Linked DNA regions of Stegostoma tigrinum. The protein of the gene in region 2 interacts with the protein of the main gene of each other region in a pairwise test. Links are inferred from orthologs where the notes say so. Each region holds a gene or a part of one and is shown on either strand. Other genes may lie near its edges.

Evidence for each region. The genes of interacting proteins can lie anywhere in the genome.
Region 1: the proteins of dnaJ homolog subfamily A member 3, mitochondrial-like (region 2) and tcf19l interact in a two-hybrid assay, tested with the Homo sapiens proteins (2 studies listed by BioGRID and IntAct). The two-hybrid records come from large-scale screens. The link is inferred for Stegostoma tigrinum from reciprocal best matches to the Homo sapiens genes DNAJA3 and TCF19.

Annotation. Positions count from the first base shown.
Region 1 is NC_081387.1:26,380,451-26,390,618, reverse strand, and holds the start of tcf19l (transcription factor 19), read right to left. Parts: upstream 3,884-10,168; 5' UTR 3,196-3,883; coding exon 2,901-3,195; intron 449-2,900; coding exon 1-448. Other genes in the region: cchcr1 (coiled-coil alpha-helical rod protein 1), read left to right, coding at 7,761-7,833, 9,484-9,703. UniProt on the Homo sapiens protein: Potential transcription factor that may play a role in the regulation of genes involved in cell cycle G1/S transition. May bind to regulatory elements of genes, including the promoter of the transcription factor FOXO1.
Region 2 is NC_081376.1:32,395,247-32,405,651, forward strand, and holds the start of dnaJ homolog subfamily A member 3, mitochondrial-like, read right to left. Parts: upstream 4,263-10,405; 5' UTR 4,244-4,262; coding exon 4,054-4,243; intron 3,690-4,053; coding exon 3,559-3,689; intron 2,936-3,558; coding exon 2,852-2,935; intron 2,423-2,851; coding exon 2,225-2,422; intron 314-2,224; coding exon 161-313; intron 1-160. Other genes in the region: coro7 (coronin-7), read left to right, coding at 6,510-6,569. UniProt on the Homo sapiens protein: Modulates apoptotic signal transduction or effector structures within the mitochondrial matrix. Affect cytochrome C release from the mitochondria and caspase 3 activation, but not caspase 8 activation.

The DNA of each region.
Region 1 (10,168 bases), on a different chromosome or scaffold from region 2:
GGGTGGCGCCGCGTCCCCGGCGACAGCAGGAGGCGGCGGAACCTGCCCAGGGCCCCCTTGGGCTCGCTGGCGGCGGCCTCCGAGTGCAGCACCACCAGCTGCGACCTCAGTTTGCTGATGCTGCCGATGGAGTTCAGGATCAGGGTGGCCCGGGAGGCGGGGGGCGCCCGGGTGAAGCTCCGGATCCGGGCCCGCTGCGGGGACAGGCAGACCGGCCGGAACCCGCCGGCTCGCTGCGCCCTGGGGGGGGAGGCGGCGGTGATGGCATCGAAGTCGGCCGGGCGCACACGGACCTTCTGGAAGAGGAAGTAAAACTCCGAGTCCTGCTGAGCGACCAGGGAGCCTTCCGGGATGTTCACCGCGTCCGGGTGGCCAAACGTGACAGTGTCTCCGTCGGAGAGCTCCGTCCTCTCGCCTTTGGCGATCCGAATGTCATTCACAAATGTGCCTGCAATAACACAGCCGTCAGCCTGAATCCTGCTTCCCTTCTGGTTCTCTTTTATTTTAAAACAAACCCCCTCCTTTTTAACAGCCATGCACGCACTGAAACACGGCCACCCAAGTCCCCGGGATTAGACTGGCCCCACACATGTCTCCCAAAAACCTTTCCAAGTATCAGAGATAATGGGAACTGCAGATGCTGGAGAATCCAAGATAATAAAATGTGAGGCTGGATGAACACAGCAGGACAAGCAGCATCTCAGGAGCACAAAAGCTGACGTTTCGGGCCTAGACCCTTCATCAGAGCCGAAACGTCAGCTTTTGTGCTCCTGAGATGCTGCTTGGCCTGCTGTGTTCATCCAGCCTCACATTTTATAACCTTTCCAAGTACCCCTGCATACCCGCACCTTCCTCTGGCACTTCCTTCCACCCCGCCAGCTGCTCGGGGTCTCTGTCGTGGGTGAACAGCTGTGTCTACTCGCTCCGCGTTAAAACAGAAAGTTGCCCCTCAGTGTCCTTTTGATTTGTTTATCAGACATAACATCCGGGAGTAAAAAGTTTTGTCTCTGTCTTTGCCCACCCTCCTTCGTATGAATAAAAACGAAAGGCAGGCCCGTCAGCTTGCGAGCATTCGACCAGGAAAAGGGGAGAACAGACAGGTCACAGTTGTATCAGAGATAGTAGGAACTGCAGACGCTGGAGAATCTGAGATAACAAGCTGTAGAGCTGGATGAACACAGCAGACCAAGCAGCATCAGAGGAGCAGGAAAGCTGACGTTTCAGGCCTGGACCCTTTATCACAGGTGAAGTAGCCTCCCTCAGGAGCCTCTCGCCTTCTGGGATTATTTTCTTGCCCGTCCTGCTTGGCCAGGACGCATCTGCCTTTCGATCAGAACTGCAGCGAGGTCACCCACAGCACCGTTTCTAGGGAAAACTGCAGGTCTGATCCCACATTCAAACAGCATCATGTCTCCTTCCGATGAGCCATCTGTCACAGGTAGGAGGGCACCAGGACAATTCGCTTCGTTTCCCATTTTCAAACCGACAACATCCAAAGTAGACGTCAGCCAGAACCCAGTGATCCCTTTGGCTGGGGAGCGATCTGCCAACTTCAGCCCCTCCACCGCGGACCCACAGCAACAGCAATGTGCACCGTCTACACGATGCACTGCAGTAACCCATCACGTTCAAACCCTACCACTGTAAAGGAGAAGGTCGCGGGATGTATTGGGACTGCAAACTCCCCTCCAAGCCAGACCCAGTCCAAATCTGTCACTATTAACTGCTACTGGCTGCAGTTTCTCCCCTGGCAGCTCTCCAAGATTGCTGCGGTTCAGGGCAGTAGCTAAACCACCACCTCCAGGGGTCCAAACCTAGCCAACCACACCATAACCTCTGAATAATTAAAGAAAAAAAAGGGAGCTACTTATATTCCACTCCCGCCAACAGAAACATGGCTACAGCTGTTCATCAATGACAGAGACCCTGAGCAGTTGGCAACCAAACGCACAACAGTATTTTACATTAAAACGGCTTCAGATTTCTGATGTTGCACACTAATTCCTCCTGCCACCCTCTAAACCACCCTTTGACCTCATACTGCCCCACAGCTCCAAGATAACAGCAAAATGTTACAGGTGCTGAAAAATTCAAACAAAAAACAGCGGAAGGAAACAGATAACAAGGTGTGGAGCTGGATGAACACAGCAGGCCAGGCAGCAGAGGAGCAGGAAAGCTGACATTTCGGGCCTAGATCCTTCTTCAGAAATGGGGTAGGGGAAGGGGTTCTGAAATAAATAGGGAGAGAGGGGGAGGCGGATAGAAGATGGATGGAGGAGAAGATAGGGGGAGAGCAGACAGACAAGTTAAAGGGGCGGAGATGGAGCCATTAAAGGTGAGTGTAGGTGGGGAGGTAGGGAGGGGATAGGTCAGTCCGGAGAGGACGGACAGGTCAAGGGGGCGGGATGAGGTTAGTAGGCAGGGGATGGGAAGGTGGGGCTTGAGGTGAGAGGAAGAACAGATTAGGGACGCAGGGATGAGCTGGGGGAAGGGGAGATTTTGAAGCTGGTGAAGTCCACATTGATACCATTGGGCTGCAGGGTTCCCAAGCGGAATATGAGTTGCTGTTCCTGCAACCTTCGGGTGGCATCAATGTTACACTGCAGGAGGACCACCATCAGAACTCAGCTAAGGCTATCCCACACCCCCACCTCTCCCATCCCCTATATCTCCATTGCCCTGTATCCCAACCCCTTAGCCCCCATTCCCCTGTATCCCACCCACTAAAACACCCATCCCACTGTATCCTACCCCCCTCACGCCATTTTCCCGTATCACCATTCCCCTTTATCCTCCCCAATCACCCTTATCCACATTCCCCATAACCTCCCCATTGTCCTCTAGTTCCATCGCCCCCCCCCCCCCCACCACCCACCACCACCCACCACCCAGGCCCTTACCATTGGTGCTCCTGTCGACGATGTGCACCCTCCAGTCGCCCCCGGCCGCCCCCCTCTCGGCCTGCAGCTCGGCGTGCACCCGGGAGATGAGATCCTCGGCCCGCCCCGAGCTCAGGCACAGGTCGGTGAGGTCGGCCCGGCGGCCGAGGCGGAAGGTGCAGCGCTGGCCGGCCGGCAGGAAAGTGTAGAGGTCGCGGGCGGGTGTCGGCGCCGTGGCCTGGCCGGGCCTCGGGCTGGGCTGCGGGGCGGTGCCGATGCGGAGCAGCTGCAGGCAGGGCTGCACCTCCGACAGCATCCTCGCTGGGTCGGTGTCGGGGGTATGCTAGGTCATCAAAACCTGCACTCCTGGGGGCTCGGCTCCGATTGTTAGGTCATCAAAACCTGCACTCCTGGGGGCTCGGCTCCGATTGTTAGGTCATCAAAACCTGCACTTCTGGGGGCTCGGCTCCGATTGTTAGGTCATCAAAACCTGCACTCCTGGGGGCTCGGATCCGATTGTTAGGTCATCAAAACCTGCACTCCTGGGGGCTCGGCTCCGATTGTTAGGTCATCAAAACCCGCACTCCTGGGGGCTCGGCTCCGATTGTTAGGTCATCAAAACCCGCACTCCTGGGGGCTCGGCTCCGATTGTTAGGTCATCAAAACCCGCACTCCTGGGGGCTAGGCTCCGATTGTTAGGTCACCAAATCCTGGAATCATGGCGGTTCGGCTCCGAATGTTTGGTCGCCAAGCTCCCGGGGGGTAGGATCCAGTTGCTAACTCATCAAATCCTGGGCTCTCGGGGGTAGGATCCAGTTGTTAGGTCATCGGAACTGAGGCCTGGCTTTCCACCTCGGACCGTTGCGGTGGACAGTTGGCGCCACTGTAGTTGTTGTTGTTGTCTCTCCGGTGTTCCTCAGTGCCACCGACCGGTTCGACGGCAGACCAGCTGTCTGTTGTCTATCCTCCCCGCCTCTCTCTCTCTTTCTAGGTCTATCCTTCTGTTTACAGGAAGCGCCTTTGAAAATTGGCGCGCTGGAACGGCGGCCCCAAGTATCGCGAGATGATCCCTGTCCTCCGCGGGGGTACCAGTTACTGTGCCTGCGTACTAGGAGGTGATGCCAATTGGCTGGCCGAGCTGCCATCTTTGATGCTGGCGCTCCGCCCTCCCTCCCTCCAGGGTGCCAGGCAGAGTTGTCAGATTGTGGTCTACGAGGAATAAAGGGCCGGTCAGGAAGATAATTACTGTCATGTATGTCATTGTGAGGGATATTCCCGTGATTTTACTGTTGGTAATCTTACTGTGGGTGATGTTCTAACTCGAAATGTAAACTGCTTTCTCTATCTTTTTGAACAGGCGCCACTTGAACTGCTCCCCTTTTTTTGAGGGTTTGCAGAAATTTGCTTTAGGAATCTCTTTTGTGACGTTGGGTTGAAGAGATGACCCAGAAGTTGCAGAAGGACACAAACTTGGGACAGCAGTCACTCTGGGTCTGCAAGAATATAAGTAGGGACAGACGTAAGCATTTCGGTCAACTCTGCCATTCAATGAGATCATTGCTGATCTAATAATCGCCATCCATTCCCTGTCTTGTTCCTATAACCCTTAATTCCTTCAATGTTTATCAATCTATCTCAGCCTGAAATGTAATTAGTAAGGCTTCCAGACCTCTGCGGTAAAAAATTCCACAGACTTACTCCCCTTGGAGAGAAGAAATTTCCACCTTATCGCTCTCCTGAGGGGTGACCCCTTACTCTGCATGTATGCCCTCTAACCCTGGACTCTAACAAGGGGAAACAATCTTTCCAAATCAAGCCCCCGAAGAATCTTATCTGTTTCAATAAGATCCCCTCTTATTCTTCTATGATCCAATGAATACAGACCCTAGCAAGTTTTGAGAAGATTTGTAGCTCAGGTTGAGGTTCTAGATGTGAGTTTGCTCGCTGAGCTGGAAGGTTCGTTTTCAGACGTTTCGTCACCATTCTAGGTAACATCATCAGTGAGCCTTAGGAAACAGATAAATAGAAAGCGGGACATAACACCAGCGCTTCACCGGACGCTCACTGATGATGTTACCTAGAATGGTGACGAAACGTCTGAAAACTAACCTTCCAGCTCAGTGAGCAAACTCACATCCAGAATACAGACCCTACCTACTCAACCTCTCCTCAAAGGACAGTTCCTCCATACCTGGGATCAGCCGAGTAAAACTTCATAGGGCTGACTCCAATATATTTTTCCTTAGGTAAGGGATAAGTGAACTGGTTTCAGTTAAGGAGGAAATGTGCTAATTGGAAAAGTTCAAACCAGTGCTCGTATCTAGATGCAACCCAAAACATTTACCGAACACAAATTTGATGGAAACATTCATTCAGGCACCTATGAAGTCAACATGCTCGAGGCATCCGCACTGTTTGGTGTCTGTTTGTGTGTGTGTGTGTGTGTGTGTGTGTGTGTGTGTCTGTGTATGTGTCTGAATCCAAAGACTGAGCAAACAAAGGATCAGACACTGAACTCTGCTGCTTACCAACCAATGTGCCCCAAACCCCCACCAGTCCTCCAGCCTATTCCAACAACCATTTTGAAACAGAGACAAATCCTCCCCCTCTCTGCTGAGTATCTTTGTAATATGAACTGTATTCCTGTATGACTCGGTTAATTCCCGTTGCTACTTGTTAACAGTGTTTTCGTCATCCATACAGTGTGGAGCTGGAGGAACACAGGAGGAGAGTCGGCACCAGAGAAGCAGGAAAGTCGACATTTCAGATCTGGACCCTTCATCAGGACTGGAGAGGGGGAAGGGAGCTCAGAAATAAATAGGAGGGGTGGGGCTTCTGAAGGTAGGTGGGACAATGTTTGGTGGGTGCAGGTTTGGGATGGTGGGGATTGGGCAGTTGGACAGGTGGGGCGGATAGATGGGAAAGAAGATGGACAGGTGGTGCCAGGTCAAGAAAGTGGGGATGAGTGGGAGGGTTAGACATGTGATGAGGCTGTGGGTGGAAGGCTGGATGTTTAGGCCATCAGGCTGTTGGCTCCCAAGGCGGAATATGAGGTGTTGCTCTTCCAGTTTGCGTGTGGCGTCATTGTGGCACTAGAGGAGGCCCAGGATGGACATGTCACCCAAGGGCGGGGGGGGGGGGGGTGGTTAAAGTGGTTCGACTGGAAGGTGCTGTTGATATTAGCGTGCAGAGTGCAGATGCTCCTCGAATCAGTCTCCAAGTGTACATTTGGTTTAATCTATGTGGAAGAGACCACATCAAGAACAATGGATACAGTAGACCAGGTGGAATGATATGCAGGTGAATCCCTGTCATACATGGAAAGTTTGTCTTGGGCCTTGGATGGAGGTGAAGGGTAGGTGCTGTGGCAGCACCGAGGTACAAAATTTCAGTTTGAATTCTGATGGAAGGTGATTAATCTGAACTGTGTTTCTTCACAGAAGCAAAGATAATAAAATGTGAGGCTGGATGAACACAGCAGGCCAAGCAGCATCTCAGGAGCACAAAAGCTGACGTTTCGGGCCTAGACCCTTCATCGGAGAGGGAACTGGAATAAATAGGGAGAGAGGGAGAGGCGGACCGAAGATGGAGAGTAAAGAAGATAGGTGGAGAGAGTGTAGGTGGGGAGGTAGGGAGGGGATAGGTCAGTCAGGGAAGATGGACAGGTCAAGGAGGTGGGATGAGGTTAGTAGGTAGATGGGGGTGCGGCTTGGGGTGGGAGGAAGGGATGGGTGAGAGGAAGAACCGGTTAGGGAGGCAGAGACAGGTTGGACTGGTTTTGGGATGCAGTGGGTGGAGGGGAAGAGCTGGGCTGGTTGTGTGGTGCAGTGGGGGGAGGGGACGAACTGGGCTGGATTAGGGATGCAGTAGGGGAAGGGGAGATTTTGAAACTGGTGAAGTCCACATTGATACCATTGGGCTGCAGGGTTCCCAGGCGGAATATGAGTTGCTGTTCCTGCAACCTTCGGGTGGCATCATTGTGGCACTGCAGGAGGCCCATGATGGACATGTCATCTAGAGAATGGGAGGGGGAGTGGAAATGGTTTGCGACTGGGAGGTGCAGTTGTTTGTTGCGAACTGAGCGGAGGTGTTCTGCAAAGCGGTCCCCAAGCCTCCGCTTGGTTTCCCCAATGTAGAGGAAGCCGCACCGGGTACAGTGGATGCAGTATACCACATTGGCAGATGTGCAGGTGAACCTCTGCTTAATGTGGAATGCTTCTTCACAGAAGCAACCTGATGCTGACTATATCCAGCTTGGTCCTTCCACTGCCCCAGAGATATGTTCATTACCATATTGTAACTGGTGGGAGAGTGCAAAAATATGCTGTTTGGGGATCCTACCAATTCTCTACTCCCTACTGCACAACGGAGAGTGTGTCTGAACAACAAACACAATGCATGTCATTGACTGTGAAAGAACTGTACAGAGGCCAGTATCCCGTCACCAAGTCGCCCTTTATTTACATGTGCACGGTTTACAGATTGTGATCAGCTAGTTTGGAGTCAGTCCATTACGTGAGGAGACTCTGTGTCTCCTGTTTATATCTGTCAGCCAGGGCTCCTTGAGTGGCCCTGCTTCACAGCCCCTATCAGGGATCTCATAGTCATTAGGATCCAACTAGTTCCAGTCACTACACTAGGAAAACCATACAGGGAACGCTTTTGATTTTGTTGTTGGCTGACTTTTTTTTTGTTCCCCGAGGCCGACGGCTGTGCCCTGGGGCACTTGGATGGGTGGAACGGATTTGTGGAGGTGGAGGGTAATCGGTTTCCGGCGGACGGGTGTTTCCGGGACACCACTGGGTGGCTGGAGGTGGCAGCAACCTGTTTCCGGCGGACGTGTGTTCCTGGGACACCGCGGTATTAACGGTCGGCCGCGCCATGTCTGAGAGGAGCCGGCGGCAGCTCGAGCAGGGAGCGGAGCCACCGATAACTTTCAGCGGCAGGCATCACGGTAAAAGGAAGCAAATATATATGCAAATTTTAAAAAAAGACACTGTTGAAAGATGCAAATGGGAACCCTAATCTCCGCATGGCACAGGAGTAAATCCCTGGGGGAGAGATCTATAGATCCCTGAGACCTGGGATAGTAGATCCATGAAATGTAGACATTGCTGCATATTCCAGGAATATTGAGGTGTCTGTGGATCCTAGGAAATGGGAAATTTCTATTGGCCCCTGAGATATAGAGAAAAACCTACAGATTACCAGGATGCAAGAACGATCTTTAGATCCCCGGGAAATGGGGATAAACCTGCAGATCTCTTGGAATTGGGGATAAACCTGCAGATCTTCGGGACGTTGGGATAAACCTATAGATTCCTGGGAAGTGCGGATAAATCTGTAGTTCTCTGGGTATGGGAACAACTGTACAGATCTTGGGGGAGTGGAGTTATCCATAACCCCAATATGTGAGAGACATCTCTGGATGCCTGGTGTATGGGAATAAATCTATAGATGCCTGGCAAATGGGGATACATTTATAGATCCCTGGGATATGGGATAAATCCATAGATTCCTAGATAAGAGTATAGTTCCCTGGAATACGGAGATGAATTAATAGGTCTGTTGATATTGGAGTGATCTGTAGACCCCCAAGAGTGAGGAGCAGCTATAGATTCTGGAGATTTGCAGATAAAATGTATCGTTCCCTGGGACACAAGTGGGTGAAAATCAGCTTCAGTATGATGCCTGGCTAAGAGGAAAACTTAGAGGGTTTAAATATAAACATTCAGAGTAGACATTTAGATATCTACAGTATTGACATGTTGGTAGATGTATAGATACCTGGGGTTACGAATGTATGGGACAACCCAGTTGATATCTGAGGTATAAGTATGTCGAACAGATATATAGATCTTTAGACACAGACTCGTGAGTTACTTTTGTTGATATACAAACAAGGGCCAAGAGTAGGCCAATCAGTCCTTCATACCTGCTCTGCTATTCAATAAGATTATGGCTGATTTAATTTTAATCTCAACTCAATATATCTGAGGTCTAAGTATGTTGAGTGGTCCTATAGATCTTTGAAATATGTGTATGATAGATATGTGTACACAGTTGAGAAATTCATGTATTGTACATACACATTTCTGGATGTGATGTACAAACACCCTGAACTCATACACAACAAAACATACCGTTGGAAATCAGACATGAATAATGCACTCTATTGCTTATAGATAACTAGATAAAAGAAAATTGGCAACTGAAAGTTCTTATGAATGTGTGGTTTGTAAGAACAAAGTTGTAGCACTGTCAGTTAGTAGGTTTTGAACCTTTCAATAGAAATTGTGGCAATAGTGATATTGGATTCCTAGGTTGACCATGATGTGCCAGATAGGACTGTGTGGACAAGTATGAAGAGAGGCTTGAAACATTAGGTCTGTCATTTTCATCTCTGAGATTTAGGTACCTTTCAAACAACAGGCCTCCAAACCTGAAAGAAGAAATATTAATATGTAGTTATTTGCATGTTCCAGCCAATAACTTCCTTTCCAGGAGGTTAATTAAGTCAGAACTGAGTGCAGGATTTAGAAATGTCAGCACTCCCACCTGTCTGTTGCTGGAACTATAAATGGAGCTTCTTCTTTATCTGCAGAAGCGGCAGACTTGATCCCTCCATCACACTTTGAGGCTCGGCGCCCTGGCTCACCAGCAGTGGACACAGACCCCTGGGCTGCTCTGTCAAAGGCTACCAAAGATATCTTGGAACTACGGCAAGAAAATGAACGCCTGCGGGAGCTTCAGAGGGCTTCAAACAGAGTCATGTTCAGAGGGCATGCAGGGGTTGAATCAGAAGAAGTCTGCGGCAGAGCTAGGTACTGTACATGCCTTTCTGAACAGGCTGATGGTTCTTTCCCATATAGCCAGATCTCTCAACATTTGTAAGAATGTCCTCTGTATATCTATCTGAGAGATCTTGTCCACATATCTGTATGAGCTCTACAGGATTCCCCTTTCTGTCTGTATCTCAAACATCTACAGGTCTGCCCCAAGTTTCTGTGCCTCGAGATCTGTACGTTTGCTTCGTATATCCATGCTTTAGAAATTTGTAGACATTTCCTATAAGACAGACAGTGCCCTTTCCCAGATATCTGTCACGTGTGTTCGGCCTTTTAGAGCAAGTGGACTGGGTAGATGGAAAGCAGCCTAAGAACATGTAAGAAGAATCCTTCCCCCAAGCACATGAGGCAAGATTGCCTGCTTCCTCCACTCCCCACATTTGTGTATATGAAAAAGAAAATCAAATCAAAATCTCCCTTGTCTGTGTGCTGCTTCTTTGT
Region 2 (10,405 bases):
TGTACCCCAAACACTGAGTTTGCTTCTTTTGCGTACATTCATACAGAATCCAAACCAAAAAAAACAAATACTCTGGACAACCCCTGGAACTGAACCCAGTAAAATACACTGCCTTTGGGAGGGAAGGGCAAAGAAGGTCACTGACAACGTTTGTACTCACCATGCCACTTCCATTGCAATAATGGCAGTGCTGGACTTTGGTTCCTGGTTCATTTCCCTTACCATCACATCTCTGGCATGTGTCCTCTAAATTCACCGTAATCTCCTTGTTGACACCTTTTGCAGCCTGTGTAAAGGTCAGTTCCATGATATACTGCAGAGGAATATCAAATATTAGATACCCATATAGTGTCTAAGAAGCAATATTAAGCATCATTACTGTGTAAAGCCAAAGCTCAAAGACAATTCCTGAACTTGATTTTAAAATGTGTAAATCTCATCCAAACTCCAATTGAAACAAAATTTTCTCTATAATGTGTGTGTTTTGTATTGGTTTGATGCCTTTTGCTTTAAATCTCATGATAATGTCAAATGGTTTAACAGCAGGATCATGAACCAAGCTCAACTCATTACTAGGCTGCCATTTAACATGTAAGTCATCACAAATTCGAACCACATACATGAGAGATATATTGTTAGGCTAATGACAACAAGTTATTTTCAAATATGTTTAAGAGTAAGTGGTAAGCAGCAGTAATAGCTTTAAGGGATATTTAAGGAATAGGTGGTGTTCAAATATTGAATCCATACTATTATCATAAACAGCTCCTGCACGGGTAAGACAAGCTTGATCACTCGATAGCGATCTAAGGTCAATCAAAACACTTCGAATTGCCCCAGGATGCTTTGGTTATTTATGGCCAACTGTTGGATGCTGAAATACCACTTGCTAAAAAAAGTAACCAAAAAAAGAAAGCATTCAGTTATCAGTTTGATCTGCTGTCTGATGAGTTAATTATTCAGTGACCTTGTACAGTAACCTGAAGGCACATGGTGTAGAGTGCAAATTAACCCAGAAGATCCAAAATGGTTCTGAAATATTTAAAGCTGAGAGAGACAGACAGATATAATGGGAAGTGCAGATGCTGGAGAATCCAAGACAACAAAATGTGAGGCTGGATGAACACAGCAGGCCAAGCAGCATCTCAGGAGCACAAAAGCTGACGTTTCAGGCCTAGAGCCTTCATCAGAGAGGGGGATGGGGTGAGGGTTCTGGAATAAATAGGGAGAGAGGGGGAGGTGGACCGAAGATGGAGAGAAAAGAAGATAGGTGGAGAGAGTATAGGTGGGGAGGTAGGGAGGGGATAGGTCAGTCCAGGGAAGACGGACAGGTCAAGGAGGTGGGATGAGGTTAGTAGGTAGTTGGGGGTGCGGCTTGGGGTGGGAGGAAGGGATGGGTGAGAGGAAGAACAGGTTAGGGAGGCAGAGACAGGTTGGACTGGTTTTGGGATGCAGTGGGTGGAGGGGAAGAGCTGGGCTGGTTGTGTGGTGCAGTGGGGGGAGGGGACGAACTGGGCTGGTTTAGGGATTCAGTTGGGGAAGGGGAGATTTTGAAACTGGTGAAGTCCATATTGATACCATTAGGCTGCAGGGTTCCCAGGCGGAATATGAGTTGCTGTTCCTGCAACCTTCGGGTGGCATCATTGTGGCACTGCAGGAGGCCCATGATGGACATGTCATCTAAAGAATGGGAGGGGGAGTGGAAATGGTTTGCGACTGGGAGATGCAGTAGTTTGTTGCGAACTGAGCGGAGGTGTTCTGCAAAGCGGTCTCCAAGCCTCCGCTTGGTTTCCCCAATGTAGAGGAAGCCACACTGGGTACAGTGGATGCAGTATACCACATTGGCAGATGTGACAGATCAGATGTTTGATGTCAGATCAGATCAGATCAGAGACAGACAGATGTTTGATTTCTCAGGAAATCAAGGAACATGGGAAACTTCTGGAAAAGACAGGTCAAGCACAATGTTAGTTATGACTAAATGACAGAGCAGGCTCACAGAGCCAAATGGTTCACTGCTGCTCCTATTACTTCTTTCCTTAAGCGAAGCCGAGAAACAGTCTCTTGGGGATTTTGTGGGCAATGAAGCGTTTGATCAGCCACGATTATATTGAATGGTGAGACAGGTGTGATGAATGGAATAGCCTAATCCTATTTCTATGCAAGGAACTGTCCATCTTCAGTATCACTGGTTTCTGGATAGCCAAATAGTTAGCTTACTCACCTCCTGGTGCTGGTCAAAGACAGTGTTAAAATCTCTGAATCCAGAACCAGTAAATTCCCCAAAGATGCGTCTGAAAAGCTCCTCTGGATCCACTGAAGGCCCTGAATGCCAGTATTCCTGACTCCTTGACCCTCCTGCATCAAATCCAACTCTCCCATAAGAGTCATACTGTTTCCGCTTCACTTCATCACTCAGAACCTGTAATGCACAATTAATATCGATCAGAGCTGGAAACCAATTAACAAATAAACTCAGGAATAACGATCCCTAGGAATCCTGTATTACTGTTTGAGAATAGACACTGATTGTCACACAATTTTCACAGTTTTTTACCTCAAGTTAGAATATTCATACTGTGGTGTTGTTCTTTAGAGATTACCTAACTATTCAGTTGTGCTGGTAGTGGCACATGAATAGAACACTGGTTCCTTCACCCACAACTCCCAGCTACACACACAATTCTCAACCCCTCTCTTCCCTCCACGAAAAGTGGAAATGCTGTGGCTGTGCTGACATCTGCTGTCCACCTCCCCACATGATCAGCCAACTCGGAGCCCAGAAACTCCCTTCCGGACTAGACAGCTTGTGCAATACAGTTAGGGGCTTTCATTGCAATACATTCATTACCTCATATGCTTCTGCCACTTGGGAAAATTTCTCCTTTGCCTTTGGATCATCTTTGTTTGTATCTGGGTGGTATTTCTTTGCAAGCTGTATATGCAAGAACACAAGATTTATTCAAAGCTACAAGTAGTTATAACTGAAACCAATCTTTCCCCTGTAGGCTTTGCTGGGATAAGTACTCCAACTATTAAAATAGGTTTGATTAAGACAAATTTCCCAATGTAATTCTTTTCCATGTTTTTGTTTAAAGTATACACCAGACAGTGTTGCAGTGATAGTGCCCCTCTGCCGAAGTGGTTCAGGTTCAAGTCCTATCTACCCCAGACAAATTTCATGACATATCTGCACCAGACAGTCACCACCGCAGACATATTATTTTAAAAGCGGCTTCATTTATAAGAGAGAATTCAAATTTGACCCAGTAGATACTGTCTAGATTCAGATTCATCAGTTAAAATTGGCCACTTGCAACTCTTGATGTCATGAAAGTGGACTAGCAAATTCAGCTCCTTCATGACAAGGAGGGAGAGGAAGACATTAAAGTAAATTAAATTTGACTAAGATTCCAATTACACAATTCAATTTGATGAGCTGGAAAAATTATTCTGGTCGATGGCTTGGTGCAATTAAAAAAAATTCCCACTGATTACTTGTATAAATACAGGAACTTAAGTTGTAAGTCTGGTTTAAATGACATTCGCTTCTCATACCTGATAATAAGCTTTCTTTATCTCTCTTTGCGTTGAGTTGCGAGGGATCCCCAACACCTCATAATAATCAGTTTTGGCTAAAGGAGAAGCTGTATGAAATGCAGCAACACCTAGAGAATTTGGTGAACAAGCTTGAGGCAAATGAAAGGGAAAAGAACAATTAGGAAAAACACCCACAATCTCCCGCATTTAAAAAAAAACTATAAACCATTTTCGTCCTTGCATCAAGAAGTGACATCGTTTTCTCCTCTGACTAACGGCAACAGCTACATCTGATGCTCATGATTCATCGCAAGCAAGTCCAAATCTTTCCTTACCAGACAATCTATCCCCAGTGGGATAATGCCTGGGAGTACAGACACTGCCCTGATTGTGGAGGGGAGCATTGACACTGCCCTTCCAGGGGTCGCTTGAATTTCCTCTCTGTCATGGGGCGAGACAGGCCATGCAATAGTTACCAGGCCGACGCCAGCCGAACCTGCTCGCTTTCCTTACCGGACAGCCGCAATCTTAGTTCCAGGCCGAACCTGAGACCCAGACCACCAGCCGATAACAATCCAGGGCCCAGACAAAAGGCAGTACGGAGACCCCGAGTGGCGAGTATCCGCACGGTGCCAGGCCGGGCTCCAGCCAATGGGTTCCAGGTCACCGACACCAAGCGAAGGTAGCACCGTGCAGCCGCCATCTTAGCGCCTGCGCAGACCAACAACCCTTTCCGGTCCTGCACATGCGCACAACCGTCCCATAATCATATTGCGCCTGCGCAACAAGCCTAGTTGCCTCGTAGCCTGGAGTTAGGTTCATCCACCGTCAGTTATGTGTTAGGCCTATGCTCCCATCCAGGGAAGTATTGCTGCACTGCTACAGAGGTCATCTTTTTGCTGAGACATTAATTTGAGACGGTGTCTATCCTCCCAGCCCGGTGAAAATGATTTAATGATACTATCTCGGTACAAACATGATGGGCGAAATAGCCTCTTGCACCATTGATTCTGTGCTTATTCAGAGACTTAGGTGGATAGCTTTAGGCTGATTTCTTGTACATGTATTTATTATTTAAACAATTTCCCTTAAAGAAAGCTGCTGGTGTGTTTCCTTGATTTAACTTAGATACTGTACCTTTTTATGTCTTGCTCTGTTGGCATTTGTCCTCAGCTTATTTTGACTCATACAAGTCGAATTTTGTTTTGTCTCGTTTTATCATCAGGGAGGAATGAGGGTTCTGACTTCCTTTTTAACTTAAGGCAAGGCCCACAGATTCAAACATTAATTACTTTCAATCAACCTGTTCAAAAACATAACTGGGGAAAGTGGGATTTGGTATCTAGCCCAAAGGTACAGGCACTACCAATGTACTGGAGGCTCCAGATTTAAACCTTACAAGGATGCAGTTGTTAATCAGTAGGAGCTCCTGCTTGTGGAAACTTCGGTGCTCTCTGGCATGGAATGAGGCAAAAATTGCTACTCCAAAATCTAACAAAGGATTTTGGAAACTGCAAACAGTAAAGCGAGTGATCATACCATACATTCTATAGAGATTTCATTGTGAATATAGTTTTGCTTACCTACTTGCTGCTATGAAGTCTTGCTGACAGGACCTGTAGTTGACAGCACCTAGACAATGGATTTCATGGCTTTTACTGGTCGGCAAAGTCTTCTACAAGGAACAACGAGTAGCTGGGGACTTGCAGAGACTTCTCCATTGTATCAATCTTACTTCATAGTTAGAAAGTTCAAATCCTGTTCCAGATATCTAAACTCATAATCCAATGGAGTACTGAATAAGTGAGTATTGTAACTGTTAAGATACCTCAGAACACTCTAATAATACTCATCAGACATTTTACTACATTTAGTGGTGATATATAAACACAAATCATTGTTGACACAACATATCAGATGTTTGCAGGCAAGATTTAAAACTGTCCTGTAAATGAGTTGTGCAGTGTTCTTTTGTTCTTGCTCCCACCAATTGAGGCCCACACTCCATCTGTGCATGACACGGTGGCACAGTGGTTTAGCACTCCTGCCTCATTGTGTCTGGGGCCTGGGTTTGATCCTAGTTTTGGCAACTAGTTGGGCAACAAGTTTTGTTTACACATTCTCCCTGTGTCTGTGTCAGTATCCTCTAGGTACTGCCGTTTCCTCCTACAGTCCAAAGATTTACAGATTAGGTGGCTTGGCCTTGGTAAATGTAGATTATGGGGATTGGGTCGGCTGCTCTTTGGAAGGTTAGTGCAGAACTTGACAGGCTGAATGGCCTCTTTCCATACTGTAGAGATTCATATGTCTATAGGCACTTACCTATTAAGAATTTCCCCATGTAATTCCTAGGTTCCACCCATTGTCTCAAGAATCCTCCACTTTATGCACTTTCTTTATTCACTCGTGGTGAATTTCTGCAGTGCATCTTGTCGCTAGTAGACACTGCTGCATCTGAACATTGGTGGTGGAGGAAGAAGTGAATGTTTGTGAATGAGCGTTGACCTCAGGCTATTCCCATTTACTCCACTAATTGCTGGCTTGCTCTTGTGAGCCGTGTCACTCTCTCCTGTGGAGGAGGTGCTATTTTGGCTGGACAGCTGGTCCGTAATGCACAGTGATCCCGACAGTGTGGGTTCAGTTTCTGCGCTGGTAGAAGTTAACACGAAGGATTCTCATCCTCAGGCTATCACCTCGCCTGAAGTATCATGTTAAACCCACCGGCAGTCGTAACTCTTGTTTTGTGAGACAGTGATGCTGTACGATTGTGGAGATTTACCTCTTCAATCTAACATTGCAGCAGTGGGCGGTGCCTCTGATTGTCTGGTGGACGGGCGCGCTGGCTGCGGGGATGTGCAAGGCGTGGCCCGGTCCCACCCCTCCCCTCCCCTGTGTGGCTGTTCCAGTCGTTCCCGGCTATTCGGACAGGTGGAGCAATCGTTTGTCTAGTCGCTGTTAGAGCGGGAGCAATGAACCGCTTCCGAAGCTCGAAGTATAAGAACACGGCACCGCGGCTTCCGGGCCGGGCGGTGAGTATCAGGGAAGGGAACAATTACCCCATTAGAGGGTAAGAGGGAGGATACTGTTCTGGGATAGGGCTGTTCGGGGCCGTGCTCTGCCCTCGGGTTCCATTGCTCCTTCCGCACCTCCCTCCAGCCCGTGTCCCTCGCTGGGTGTTGCAGGTACGGGCTCCCCCGGGACCTGGCCCTGTCACCCTTGAGGTTCAATTGCTGCGGAAGCCGTTGCTTCCTGTGAGGAAGTTGCAGTGATCGAGCTCTGAACGCTTTAACACAAATTCTGTTCTAGGTTGCCATAGAAGAAGCAGCAGCAGCAGCAAAGAGAATTCTAGCCTCCTCACGCTTACCTTTCTGTAGTGCCTTTCTCATTTTCGGCAGGTACTTCTGAAATGTAGTCAATGTTGCAAAGCAAATAACGGAACAGCCAATTTATGTACCGCAAGGTCTAAATCAACAACGTGATAGTGACCAGTTTTCTAGATCATCTATTTTTGTGGTGCTGTTTGTATAGTCAGTATTGGCTTGAATGTAAAAGAATGTGCAGGGGGGTACTTTATATCTACGTGAGAGGGCAGATAGGGATCCAGGTTCAATGTCTCAGCCAAAAGATTGAGTGCTGCCCTCTCTAACGGGTCGTAGAATCGTACAGCACGAAAATAGGCCCTTTGGTCCAACTCATCGGTGCTGAACAGATTTCCAAAATTAACCTAGACTTATTTGCCAGCATTTGGCCCATGTCTCTCTTAAACCGTTCCTATTCGTGTACACATCCAGATGCCTTTTAAATGTGTCTCTGACACTCCGTGGAAAATAGCCTTAGCCTATTTAACCTCTTCCTACAACTGAAGCTCTCCAACCCCAGCAACATCCTTGTAATCTTTACTGCACCCTTTCAAGTTTAACAACACTTTTTTTCCTACAGCAGGGAGACCAGAATTGAGTGCAGTATTCCAACAGTGGCCTAACTAATGTCCTGTATAAGACCATAAGACAGAGGAGCAGAAATTAGGCTGTTCGGCCCTTCAAGTCTGTTCTGCCATTCAATCATGGCTGATAAGTTCCTCAGCCCCATTCTACTGGTTTCTCCCCGTAGCCCTTGATAATCAAGAACGTATCTATCTCAATCTTAAATGTACTCAATGACCTGGCCTCCACAGCCTGCTTTGGCAGTGAATTCCATTGATTCACCAATCTCTAGCTAAAGTAGTTTCTCCTTATCTCTGCTCTAATAGGTCTTCCCTTTTACTCTAAGGTTGTGCCCTTGGGTCCTAGGCTGTCCAATCAATGGAAGCATCTTCCCAACATCCCCTTTGTCCAGGCCATAAAGTATTCTGAAAGTTCAATTAATTGCCCCCAGCCTTCCAAACTCCAATGAGTATACTCTGAGTCCTCAAACATTCCTCGTATTTTAAGCTTTCCATTCCTGTGACCATTCTCGTGAACCTCCTCTGAACCCGCTCCTGGGCCAGTACATCCTTCTCGAGATATGAGGCCCAAAACCGCACACCATACTCCAATGTGGCCTGACCAGTGCCTTCCAAAGCCCCAGCAGTACATCCCTGCTTTTATATTCAAGACCTCTACAGCATGACTTCTCAACTCCTGTCCTCCATGCACTGGCCAATAAAGGCTAGTGTACCAAATGCCGCCTTCACTATCCTATCTACCTACAACTCCATATTCAAGGAACTATGAACATGCACCCAAAGGGCTTTTTGTTCAGCAATACTCCCCATTAAGTACACAAGTCCTGTCCTGATTTGCCTTTTGAAAATGCAACACCTCACATTTATCTAAACTCAACTCCATCTGCCACTCCCTGGCCCATCTGAACAAGGTCCTGTTGTATTCCTTTATTCGTTCACGGGATGAAGGCATCACTGGCCAGAGCAGCACTTATTGCCCATCACTAATTGCCCAGAGGGCAGTTAAGAATTAACCCTGATGCTGTGGGTCTGGGGTCACACATAGGGTAGACCAGGTAAGGATGCCAGTTTCCTTCCCTAAATGGCATTAGTGAACCAGATGGGATTTTCTGACAATCAGCAATGGTCATCATCCAGATATTTATTGAATTCAAATTCCGTCATCTGCCACGGTGGGATTTGAATCCAGATCCCTGGAATGTTACCTCGGTCTCTAGATTAACAGTCCAGTGATAATACCGCTAGGCCATTGCCTCCCCAATAATTTCTGAGATAACTTTCTTTACTGTTCACTACACCACCAATTTTGGTGTAATCTATAAATTTACTAACCATTCCTCCTCTAATTGCATCTAAATCATTTATATAAGTGACATAAAGCAGTGGACTGAGCACTGACCCTCCGGCACCCTATCGCTGGTTACAGTCCATTGCCCCCACCACCCTCTGTCTCCTACGTTTAAGCCAATTTTGCATCCAAGTGGTAGTTCTCCCTGGATTCCATGTGATCTAACCTTACTAAGCAGTGTACATCTTGTCAAGCGCCTTGTTGACAATCATGATCTATATGCTGGGTGTAGGCAGGGTCAAAAGTCTTCACAAGATCCTTCATGCATCAGTTGAAGTATTTTGAATACTATCCTATTATTGGAGGAATCATTCTGTGCGTGTTTAGAAGCTCGGGGTGGGGGGGGGGGCGCTAACTGAGGATTTCATGTTTGGACTTCGTGTTAATCCCTGTTCTATTTGTTAAAATGCCTTAAAGGTTAGCATTTTAAAACACTGATGGGCTAGGCTTCATTGTGTAAAATCTCACCATTGGTGGTGGGTGCTAATGTTTGGGTATCAGTCCAGTCGTTAAAAGCTAATCTATTCGTAAGGTTTTAAACAGTACACAGACTGAATGAAAACAATAAAGAATGTAAAATAAACTTGAACAAATTATTTAGTTAATGAAAACATTAAGGATAGAAGGGCAGGTAATGTGTTATGGCTGCAGCATTTGGGAGCTTCTGGATGCTAGAATGATCCAGCCCAGACGTATCTGTAGTCATAGTTTATAGCTGGAACGGCTTCTGTTCTGTTTGTGCTGGAGGATGAATCACAGATATTGCGAATATCAGGAAGGGACATTGTCACACTGCTATTTTGTACTAGGACGTGATCACAACCATTAGAATAGGGAAAGGGCACTGATACTGTAAATGAGGGCTAAGTGTTAGAACATTAGCGTTTGCGCAGGTTTACTGTTCTTCCTGTTTGCTTTAGCTGGGGATAGTATAGTGAGAGAGAGTAGACACTGTTCTGTGTAGCCTAAAGCGTGAGGCCAATAAACTATGTTGCCGACCTGGTGCCAAGATTTGGAATGTTTGTTCAGGGTACAAGGAAGGAGATTCTGCTTAGACAGATAGGAGGAGCAGGCACCACACTGGAGAGCAGCAACTTAAAGATAGTAATCTCTTTACTATGTGAACCATATGCACATTGGCAGAAGAAACAAGACTAGTGATTTTTGACTTGAAAGTTAATGGGGGGAAAATGAGTTCTAGTTCATGGAATACTGGCATCAGTACTTGAGAAACATGGGCTATCCTGTTAGAATGATCTACACCCAAAAAGTGCCTTGACTAATGCTCTAGCAAATATTTTAACAAGGGAAGTAGAGAGATCTTTTAAACTAAATAGTGGAAGTGGTACAAAAAGACAAACCTAAAGGGTCTGTAGCATTCAATGTGGGTAATACAGATGGTTTGTGCTCCTGAGATGCGGCTGGGCCTGCTGTGTTCATCCAGCCTCACATTTTATTATCTTTAATACAGATGGCTTACTGGATTAATGAGCAGATTGTGCTAAAGGATGGGTTGGACAGACTGAGCTTATTTTTAGTGGTGGGTGGAAGATTGAGGTGTGACTTGATTTAAG